Linked DNA regions of Drosophila melanogaster. The protein of the gene in region 1 purifies or fractionates together with the protein of each later gene. This does not show direct contact. Each region holds a gene or a part of one and is shown on either strand. Other genes may lie near its edges.

What was found. Proteins that work in one complex are often made in the same cells at the same time.
Region 2: the proteins of twi (region 1) and akirin purify together in Drosophila melanogaster (affinity purification with western blotting, with the first as the bait; one study listed by BioGRID). This does not show direct contact.

Annotation. Positions count from the first base shown.
Region 1 is NT_033778.4:22,983,330-22,988,515, forward strand, and holds the start of twi (twist), read left to right. Parts: upstream 1-2,044; 5' UTR 2,045-2,162; exon of another isoform or gene 2,163-2,200; coding exon of another isoform or gene 2,201-2,999; exon of another isoform or gene 3,000-3,220; intron 3,221-5,186. Other genes in the region: CG32834 (uncharacterized protein), read right to left, coding at 1-946; CG32833 (uncharacterized protein), read right to left, coding at 1,179-1,985. UniProt on the Drosophila melanogaster protein: Involved in the establishment and dorsoventral patterning of germ layers in the embryo.
Region 2 is NT_037436.4:7,367,953-7,374,388, reverse strand, and holds akirin (akirin), read right to left. Parts: upstream 4,547-6,436; 5' UTR 4,321-4,546; exon of another isoform or gene 4,205-4,320; intron 4,050-4,204; exon of another isoform or gene 3,839-4,049; intron 3,590-3,838; exon of another isoform or gene 3,364-3,589; intron 2,683-3,363; 5' UTR 2,555-2,682; coding exon 2,317-2,554; intron 2,227-2,316; coding exon 1,870-2,226; intron 1,809-1,869; coding exon 1,798-1,808; 3' UTR 678-1,797; downstream 1-677. Other genes in the region: Sh3beta, read left to right, coding at 5,455-5,499, 6,405-6,436. UniProt on the Drosophila melanogaster protein: Molecular adapter that acts as a bridge between a variety of multiprotein complexes, and which is required for embryonic development and for normal innate immune response.

The DNA.
Region 1 (5,186 bases):
TACTAGATATGGTACTGGGTACGGTACTGGTGGAAGGTTCAGTACTAGGTACTGCAACAGGTTCTGTGCTAGGTTCAGAACTAGGTACAGTGCTCGGTACAGTAGCAGTTGTAGTGCTAGCCACAGTGGTACTACTATCACTAGAAGTACTTGTCGAAGCGGTTGTATCCTCATCTTCGGTGTTCTCGGCAATCCAACCTGTGAACCAAGGTACATTGGCGTAGACATCTGGTTTGGTGGTGCAGCCGCCTTCGGATAGAATGCCCACGAGTTGTCCATCTATCACCAAGGGAGCTCCCGTATCGTAGGAGCATCCTCCGGCGCCATTATGAGTGCAGAGGGTAAGGTACGAGATGCCATTGTCCCAGAGTCCGAACCAAACACCGCGATCCGCGGCGCACTGCTCCCGATTGTAGACGCTGACCCATGCCATCTGCAGATAGTCCGGCAGACTGCCGAAGCACCTGTCCCACCAGCTGCCCCACCAACTGGTGGATCCCCAGCCGGAGACAGTGCACCACGAACCATCGTCCGGTTCATCCTCTGCTATGCTGATGGGCTGAATAGCTTCGGAGGTCTTGAGCGGATCGCACAACTTCAACAGTGCCAGATTGTTATCGAAACGCCAGCAATTGTACTGCGGGTGATTAATTATTTCACAGACTTCGAGCAGGAATCCAGTTCCATCATAATCGCGGGAACTGGTGCCCACGCGTACTTCAATTGAACCGTAGGACTGGACACACGAAGCTGCTGTGATGATGGTGTCTGATGTGATGATCGCCCCACTGCATATTGCTGTGCCATCTATTATTACTTCCGCCTGGTACGGGGCATCTTCAATATCCACATCATAACCTCCAATGATGCGGCTTTGGGCATCCAGATCACCACGAACCGGCCGTAAAAGAGCAGCCAACAGAAATAAGAACACACTCCAAATCATTATAAACAACTGATTTTTAGAGCTGCATGTGCGACTCTTTTTATAGGAAAAGTTAAGTCGTTTTCAAGGCTAGAGCTCCTTATCTGCAAAGTCATACCTCAAATTGAGTGATGGCTTTACTTCGAAGCTCTATCAAAATAGGAAGTATTGCGTATTACTTGCACTAATCTGCACATAGTCATAGCTCGAAGGCAAAGTATTTTTTAACAATTAATTGGGAGAACGCTTAAGTTTACTTTGTATGATTATGCAGCCAGTCCTTGTACTTTATAAGATTGATATAGACTTCTGGATACTCCGAACAGCCGCCTTTCGTTATAATGCCGACCAGTTTGCCATTGTGGACCACAGGTGATCCCATCGCTAAAGAGCAGGCTTCCTTAGCGAACTTCTCGGTGCAGAACAAGTCATCTGTAAAATTCTTTTTGGACCAATTGTTTCGCGCCCACAGATCTGTGCACTGGCTAGGGCCAAGTAGCTTCACCTCGGCCTTCTGCAGCTTGTAGGCTTCATCATCCAGACACTTCTTCCAATACATTGCCCACCACCTGAAGGAGGGCCACCCGTTGGCCGTGACCTTTGCCCCATTAGACGGAAGCTGGTTGGCCAACTGAATTGGCTGGATCGTTTTGGAGGCCTCGAGCGGTTCGCACAACTTTAATATGGCCACATTGTGAAATACTGTCTGGCCGGTGAACTTTTCGTGAACTGTAATGTTGCAGACTGCTACTTCGATGACTCCATCGCTGCGCGTAGTGCTACCCACTCGTACACGGATCACCTTGTTCAGGAATCCATCCACACATTTCCCGGCTGTCACAATGTGACTCAGTTTGTATATCGCTCCGTCGCACTTGGCCTTTTGTTTGATCGAAATGGAAGCAATCCATGGCGCTGTGGTTATGTTCACGGGATGACCACCAAGAGTCGTCCGGTTGCAGTCGTTTTCGTCGTCCTCTTCCGAATCTTCACCTGCACCCGTGTCACTTTTGGAAAGGACAAAGAGTGCAAGGAAAATTGGTAGAGATCGCAGAAGCATGATGCCAAATAAATGTGCATATAGCAGGCTGTTTAAATTTTATAGTATTGGCACAAAGCATAGCAAATTAATTTGTTTTACTTTACGGTGTGTTAAAATTTTTCTCACTTTAAGCCATTGTGCAATGTTCTTTATTCTGTGCTTTACAAATTCAAATATAGATCTACAGAAGGCAAGGTAATATTATCATTAAACTATTCACAGCAAGTAAGATATTAATCCTTCGTATTCGAGTCCAGCCAGTTCGTGTGCCCCAGGATATTTGCATAGACATCGGGCTTAATGGAGCAGCCCGCTCTGGAGAGGATGCCCACGAGCTTGTTGTCGATGACCAGAGGCGAACCCCTGTCTGTGGAGCAGGCTCCCTTGCCCGGCGACTTGGTGCAGATGGTCAGGTCTGAGATTCCCTTGAGTAAGTAAAATGGTATGACTTTCCAGTCGGCGGCGCACTGTTTTTGGCTAAGGATCCGCACTTGAGTGCCGTGCAATTGGACAGGCAGCTGGAAGCACTTCTCTTCTATTCCGCTGCTAATCCTCTAAGTCTAAGATAAGGTCAAGGAAATTGCCTGATCTGCCACCACAGCCAGTCACATTGGCTCGAGAATTATCATCCGGCACTTTGTCGGCCCTCTCAATTGGCTTTATTTCATCGGTGGTGTTGAGTAGCTCGCAGGTTTTCAAGAGAGCCAAGTTATTGTCAAAGCGCCAGCTGGAGTACTGGCTATGAACTTTGACCTTACAGATTCCAGCAATTGATCCACTAGTGCCGCAGCTGCTGGTTCCCAACCTGACTTGTATGCTCCTGGCGCTGTAGCCATCCACACACTTGGCGGCAGTCAGGATGTAGTTCTTCGAGATAATGGCACCACCGCACTTGAGCTTCGAATTGACTATGATGGAGGCATACCACGGTGCATCCTTAATGTTGACAGTGTTTCCGTTTATGATCCGCTGATCTCCGAGAGCCAACCAAGGCAGAGCCACAATCTGCAGGAGGATTAGTGGGGCTAACATTCTCTTTAACTGACTTTCGTGAAGGGCGTGCTCCTCTTTTTATGGGATTCTTTGTTAATTAAACGGAATAGCTTTGGAATACTCTTCTTATCTACCTTTCGAAGAATCTATTTTGTAATGTAAGAAGAATATGTATTACAATGTATTACAATCCATATTGGCATTTGAAACATTTTGAATGATAAATACGCCCTGTGCGCAATCGATTGAATATAAAACCGAACTATTATACGTTCAATTGCCAATTGGGGTAATCCACATATATGCCCAAATTATAAAGTATAATTTAAGCAGCCGCATCGATTCTTTTCGCTTAGAGCGGCTTTGTACCCGTCCTCCGATTTGAGACAAAACTCACCAGCCATTACACTAAGCCGCTTAAATATTTGAATAATTCCTGCAGAGTAAAAAAAACGTGGGTGACTGAAATATAGCTGGACATTTCCATCAAGCGATATTTGCATGTATTTATGCAATTTTACATGAATGCAGATTTAAATCTGGGCAATGTTTAGCAAAATGTCGAAATAAATACTTTCATGGAGGAAAGTGGCAGGAGAGAGCTGGCGAGGGGCAAGGGGCATGGGGCATGGGGCAAGTAAACAAACATTTTGATGATTCGCCATGTCAAGTGGGTCGGTTTCGCAGCCAGGCAGGCGGATTAAAATGGATTACAACTGAATTATTTGATAATGTCCCAGCAGATGCAACACATCGCATTGCTTTCGCCCCGAATCGCATTTAATTTTTATCAATGTGAAAATCATTTTTGGTTGCTGGGTTTTTTATTACCATTTTATTGGGTTTTTTCGGCGGGCTGAATCGTGTTTTCAATTTGCCCCTGGATCTACGTTTTCTTTTGTCAAATATTGTTTGGGTGTGCTTTTTTTAGCTCTATTTAATTGATTTTATTTACGCAAAATCAGGAAAGCTTGCTCGCTTTATACGAGGCTTTAATTAATTTAGTTAATGGGATATATTCGCGTACTATTCATGATCTTTTGTTAAACTGTTATGCTTGAAAAAAAAGGATTAATTATGTTAAAAGCAAGTGCCTTTCTCACCATTTTATAATATTCAACAGATTTGCTAAGCAAGGCCACTTTTCAAATGACCTCAATTGGTTTTTTTTGCTGGCCTAATGAATATTTCAGTTTTGGCAACATCGCTAACGCCATAGACGTCCATCGATGGCCATTTCCAGCTCGATCCAGCTGCTCCTCCATCTCAATCAGCCTTTGGCTCATACATAACCCAGTAAATCCTTTTCCAGCTCGATGGCATCGTTGCCAATTTTCACACCAGCGACAATTACTCAAACCGTTGGCAACAACAAAAACATGGGTTACCACTGTCCTCGTCCTCGCTCCCTTTTCCCTGACCCGCTTTTCCCGGACTTTTCCCGCCCGCCCCCGCAGTCACAGCTCGCCACTCGGAATCGAGGGAGCCGGCAAAACAATCGTTGACAAAAATATTTGCATGCACTCTGGGTGCACTTGTCCGAATCGCCGTGCTGGGGATGCAGCTGCTCCTCAGCGCTGCTGTGCCGCGTGTGTTGCCATCGGCGGCGGCGCATTAAATATGCAACACCTATGACAGCAAGCCGCTTGACATTTGGATCCGAAGGCACGGGACTGGAGACCCATTCCAGTTTTAAGCTGGAACTAAAGTTTTGCCGACAATTTGCAGCTAAATTTGTCAAAAAACCAGAAACTTGGCCGGCTGAGAAATTATGACTTCCGCAATTGTTGGGTGGAACAAAGGGAATCCAGCGCAGTGCCAAAGTGTGACCGACCCGAAACAGTTCAAAAGGCAACTGTTGCTCTTGAACCTTTGGAAAATCCACCGCTTCAAATGCCGTTACACCCCCCGCCCCCCACACACGGCAAAGTTTTCAAATAGAAAATGTTTAATTTCCCCAAAGACAACGTCGATGCTGCTGCTGCTTTCCCGAAAACGCAGCGTTTTCCCACCCAGGCCAAGGAAACTTTCTTACATATTTTACAATAGATCTTCGTGTGTGTGAGTAAGAGTGTGTATGGGTGTGTGTGTGTGGGTGGGTGCAACAGTGCAGCCGAAAAAGTTTCTCCTTTCCCGGGCGGAAAGTTAGCTAAGACAAACGCCCCGAAAATACCCACATCGCTCAGTTGCCAGCGCCCATCGCTGAGCTTCCGGGTCGAACTTGTT
Region 2 (6,436 bases), on another chromosome or scaffold:
CACCCACCATTTAGAAAGTCGTTGTGTCCCCCAAGAGCCTTTCCTTAGTTTACTTGTGGAATTTTATGAATATCGAAGTTTTTTTTAGCCGGGAGATGCTCCACGTCGGCTTTGAATTGATTATGATGATAAGATAGCCCTCCTCATTCCGTTCAATTGAGTTTTGAACTAAATGTATTTATTATTGAAGACTTTTTAATGCATTATTATGTAATTGTAAGCATGTGAATCAAGCGTATTTTTAGTTAACTAGTGTTAAGTTTGGAAAGTTTCTGTTGAACGCACAAACACATTAAATAAATCAAAATGAATATTCTCAGAGTCTGGAGAAGCCACTGTAAAGGTTATTCATAATTTTATTCACAAATGGAAAGTTTTGCACAAAAGGTATCTCTCATTTTGCTCAGTCTTTTCCCCACCTATGGCAGTTTTGCTAGATTCGCAAATTATATTGAAAAACCTGGTTAATCATTTAGCATTAGCTGGATTTGGAGCAACCAGAACCAATTGAGTTTTATTCGGATAATACGGGTTGGTATAAAAAAAAGAATATTGTGGTTTATAAACGGATGAAATTAAGAGTTCGCTTCACAAACAGAATAAAAAGCTTTAAAAAGAAAAGACCAGCGGGCATCTACAATTCATCATTTTATTTTTGTTTGTTTTAATATAAAAATGGCATTTCTTTACTAATTTTAAGTTTAAATTACTAATATAAAGTAGTATGTATGATTGCGGTAATTGAAAAATATATATATATATATATATCATATATTCTCGTATATATTCTTCAAGGTGTGAAAAAATAATTGCAATGAACATGAAACATCTTCTGTCAAGCGTATTTTATAAGAAAGCGTTCAATTTAACTTAATGAATAACTTTTATACCTTTTTTGTTGTTTGCCTTTTCTTTTCGTTATTCATTTTTGTATGGTGTAAAGCAAATCGAAACATTTCAATTGTTTTGTGTGTTTACATTACTTTGCAATAATTCGCATCAAAGGAAGAAACAATTAACAAACGATACTCGAGAAAATAGGCAAATTCAAGCGTTCGTTTCTCGCCTTAGTGTTACAACTAATATGCAAAAATAAACTATGAAAAGTGTTCTTCATGAGTTGTGAGTTATCTTTGTTGCTTCGCTTCATAAATTACAATTTCCAAAAAAACAATATATGTAGTTTGATAGGTTTTACATCATACCTTATATGCTACATCATGTGCCTAACATTATATATTTGCCAATTCTGTCGGTCTGTTATGTACGAAGCTACGTTTGAGGTTTCATTGAATCGTTCTCTCTACGGATGCACCCATATGTATATGTCTGCAGTGGCGGTGTGCTTATAGTTCATATAGTTCATAATTTGATATTTGTCATTTTATTTAGAATTTGCGTTATGTGAAAAACATAAATTTAACAAGTTGGTTTGTTGGTTTCTCTCTTTTGTGGTTTTTGCTTGCTTTTAAATAATTCATCCCTTTGCTGCTAACCGATACAATATATATATGTAAATCTAGGCATAAACTATAACCGTTTTCTTCGCGTGTATTTCAAAATATATTAAACACGATGTATGTTGTAGTTTGTTTTTTTTTTTTTGTTTGTTTTTAGGTTTTTTGCTTTTTAGGTTTTTTTTTTTTGTTGGTTTGTTTTGCGTTTGCTTTAGTTTCCTTATTTGTTGTTTGTTATAGTTTATGAGGGCTGTTGTTGTCGCGGTAGATCTACCGTCACATAAGATCGTAGTGCAATTATTAATTTCTTCTTTCTGAGGCTACAGCTGTGTACACAGCTTTACGACAGGTCTGAAATAAAAATATAATGTAATTAGCACTATAACCATGACCGATGGTAACTTGAACTCACAGCTAGGCGCTGCCTCGTAGCGACGCTGTATCTGATCATATGTGAACTTGACAAAGGCATCGTACTGCTCGGCCAGCTTGGTGGTCAGCACGGACTCGTAGCGCTCCCTTAGCTGATTCTCGCGCTCCTTGATCATGCTCTCGCAAATGAGCTGCACCTGCTTGAACGTGAACAGGGCCTTTTCGCCGTGGCGCATCAGGTTCTGTGGACTGTCCGGGCGGCGCGGACTCTCTGGACCCATCTCCGATCCGCTGGACTCCGAATCCTGCATGCGTTCCAAGGCCGACGAAGTGATCGGCAGCTGTTTGCGCTTGTGCAGTCTCTTGATCTCATTGCACAAGCTCTCGGCCATTTTGTCTGTGTTTCGAAAAGAAGAAAGGTGTATTAAGGTAATATGCATAAAAGGAATCCGACGTCCCTTTTCCAGCATCGACCTGATTTACTAACCTGGTGACATTTTGGCCAGCGACGACTCACTGAACGGACTAGGTTCGGTGCTATCCTTGGCGAATCGGTTGCTGGGCGTGTGGGGCAGACCAGCCGAGGTGCTGGGACCGTCGCGGGATGGCGACGCTGGACCTGCATTGCTCCCAGCCTGGCCAAAGGGATTGCAACGCCGGCGCTTCGGAGGCCGCTGGTTCATCGACTCCCAGTCTAGGGCTCGTTTCAGGGTTGCACAGGCCATCGCTATGATTGAGGTTCTACTACCCGGTGGTCTTCTGATAGATAGATGGCTTGCTTGATTGTCGGTAGATGCTGATTATTGCCTCGATTCCAAATGATGGATGCTGCAGATGGAAGATCAAGCGTCGGCTGCAATGGGCAAACAAACAATGAATGAGTAAGGTGAAGTGAACACCTTGCTGGCAAAGAAAAGACGGACGCAAACTGGTTTCAAGGAAAAAACAGGATTCACAGGCGTGCACTCACGCACACGCAGCCGATAAAAGAAAATGGTGCAGCGATTTATGGCCGCCAATGCTGGCAATTTGGACTTTTTCTCGCCTTGTATGTATCGTGGGCAACAATTGTACGCTCTCTTATCTTATCGCTTATGGGGCGTGATTTTGGAAATAATTTGAGGCTTCAACGCTACAAAACAAGGGCCTTTGCTTAAAAAGAGCGCCGAAAATAGGAAGGTACAAAAATTTTTAGTAAATACTTTTCGCTAGTCAAAGTTGCTAGCAATGCATAATTTGAAAAGCTATTATCCGATATTTTCCCCAGAAAGCTATTAAAAATAGAAATGCCAGTAAAAAACTTTTAAATGCGAAGTTCGCGTAAGTTTAATGACTTTGATGACGTCCGTTTTACCTAAATAATCATGACAAGAGAGGAAAAAAAATTCAAGACAACAAAAAAATGTTTTTTTTCCCCCATTTCGTCACGATTAAATTATATTGTTCAATAAAATTAGTAAGCAATTAAACATATTGTTATATTCTTATATTCATAGCTTTTTCTAGAATAGAATGACAAAACCATTTTAAAAACCTAATTTTTATGAGACTATTATAGTTTCCACGACAATTAAAAGGATGTTGGCTTCCTTGGGGTTTCTAGCTTCTTTCGGCTATCGCCGACAGCTCCGATACCGTGCACCCAGCTGCTGTTGTCGCAGGAAAAGGGCGATACCGAATCGGAATACGAATCCAGAAACTCCGAAGAGAAGGAGAAACCAGCCAAAGAAAGCGACGAAACGAAGTGGCGCAGCGCAATTAAAGGACGACCGACAATGAAAATAAAAAAAACCACCACGCAAAGGCAAAATGCATAGCAATGCAGAGGGAAAATAAAGAAAACAGAGAAAAGTGTAAACTGTAACCCAATAGCAGAACAACCACCGATAAAAGAAAACTACGCAGGATAATAATGCGTGTTCTTCTCACTCTTCCCCTTTCTTTCTTTTCTTCTTCTTCGTCGCTGCAGCGGCAGCTGTACCAGCTGTTTTCCGCACTAACACACGCACACTGCCCTCTCGATAAACCGCAACACGTGTGTATGCGTCTGCTGCTGGTGTTGCTGTCTCTGCCCACAATTATTAAATATTTAAAGCCATATACAAAACGTTTTTGGGTTTAACGTTATACTCTTTTACGTGACAAATGCCAGAGATTAGTTTAAAAAAAAGCAAACGAAATGGCAGCAGCCAAAGCGATCACACTGGTTGTCCCACTCTAGCCTGCACACGCACGCACACAAAGAAACGCACACGCACACCGTTGTGAGTTGGAATGTTGATTTCATGAAATTTTAAAAATGGTCGCATCGCATATCATTATCAGCTTTTCAGAGGAACAAAAAGTTAAACAGCTTTTCCAACAATCGCACTTACATTAATGCGTATTTTGATTTTTCCTTCCGACTGCTTTTTTGCTTTCTGCACCACTTCACACGCGCTTTATTTACTTTTTTATTGTGCCACTAGTCCGCTGGCACATACCCACTTACATTCACGTCCGTACTTCAGTTTGGGTGATTAATTTAGGTTTTCGGTTAGATATAAGTAATGTTATTGCTTGCTGGTTGTTTGAGCAGTATTCCAAAGGCCACTGAAATGCACTGTCAATAGTTGTTCGTCCTCGGCGACTCGCTAGATATAATTTACAAATTTTCGTCTCGCTTCTTAGCAAAAATGGACGACGATGCTTGCGTGACGGGACGTGAACAGAGTGACCGCATGGCGACCGCTAATATTGGTTGCCCTGCTAACGGATCTATACCAAAAAATACTTTATGGTTCTACCAAATATAGCAAAAACTTCAAATAACCGAAAAGTCTGGGGAGAACATTTTTCAATTGCATATTCTATGTACTTTCTTGAGTCCTATAACCTTAAGTCGTTTGTAGAAAGTTAGCATTATTGCATTTTTATTTTTATGGAATTCAACTCCAAGTAACAAAAAATTAATAAATAAAAAACACCCTCATGTTCTAAATTCCACCGTTCCTTGAAGCCGCTAACTCATCGACGCCAAATTAAAAATAATTTGTTCTATAATAAGAATCCTTTTCTTCTATCTTTTAAAAAACCTTAAAAAGCCTATCTTATGCTTTTTATAAATTATTATTTTATTATTACGATTATTAATCGAAGAACGTTTAAAAAATGAAAACCTTACATGGGAGCATAATAAAATTTAAGTTGTCTTAAAAATATTTAATTTTGAAATATCACTTAAGTTCAAAGTTTTTAGTATTTTAATCAAGCATCATATTTAGTATATTTGATAAGCCGGAAGGTTTTCTATAGCCGTCAATGCGCGGTCCCACCATTCAATTCAACGACAAAGTAGGAAATATTTTCCACTCCTGATATCAAATATTTTTGCACTTTTATAAGCGTCGCCAGGCAATTTTTTTATCCGCGTCTTTGCCGTTTTTACAGCCAATAAAACCAACGACCTTGCCCAGTGCGTGTGCCTTCGTCACCAGTGGAAAAACATTACGTAGGGGCGCAGGACGGAAGAAAGCAGGAAAAGAAAAGATCTATAAATATTTTTAATCGCCGTGAAAGTAGCCAGCAGATTTTAGTTGCAAAATATTATTTCATTTGCGGTGCGAGGACACAGTAATCTGCGAAAATGGTCTTGAAAGTCTACGTCAGCGGCATGTCCGGCAATAAGGAGGTGAGTTTGTGGGCGTGGCGGGCTTAAAACCGAAATAGTGTCATGTTATTGGAATGTTTGGCCCTGGTATTAGCGACAAACAGATAAAAAGGAAAAGAAGCAAACTAAAGTGGTGACGAACGCATTGCAAATTCTATTTCTTCTGCTGCGTTTCGTCTTTGTGTGTATGTACGTGAGTTGGACAATGATGATGATGTAGTGTGTGGTATGTAAGTCTGTATGTCTGTACAGTCAAAGAAAAACAAGTGGGTATTTTCGTGAGTGCCCTTGTGTGCGAGTGTTAGTGGTGGCAAGAAGCAGAACAAACATACATTTCATTGCCCATATAAGCTCATTCCACTGTGAACTGTAAATTGTTCATGGAAGAGAGGGATTTCCATTGATCGCAGTTGCGTGGGTGCGTGTGCATGTGTGTGTGTGTGTACATGCGTGAGGGGTGATTCACTTCCCCCTCTCACTCTTTCGGTGCCTTTGTTCAATTGGCAATCTTCCTCTTCCAATAAGAACAAAAACATAACGGTCATTGTACGGTTCACAATTATTTGTTTTTGTCCTGTCTTTGTACACTTTAAAAAAGCGTTGGGAAACACATATTCTTATCGTAAGATAAATGCTGGGGTGCAACAAACCATTTTAATTAGCCTTATCATATCGCGTGGTTCTGGCGTTCTTTTTACGTACATATGTTTATATCGGCGGGGAGTTGGCTTTGTGTGCGCTTGTGTGCGTTTGGGCTTGCCGGTAACACTTCATTAGCGATTTGTCATCGCTGTAATTAACAGCGTTGTCAAAGGTAGCTACACTGAACAAAACGATACATGTTAAAGGTATTTTATATACTTTAATTTTTAACTTTCTTTTCAAATTTAAATGCTTTCACTGACCGTCGAAATCCAATTTTACAGGTGAAGAAGCGCCAGCAGCGCGTTCTGATGAT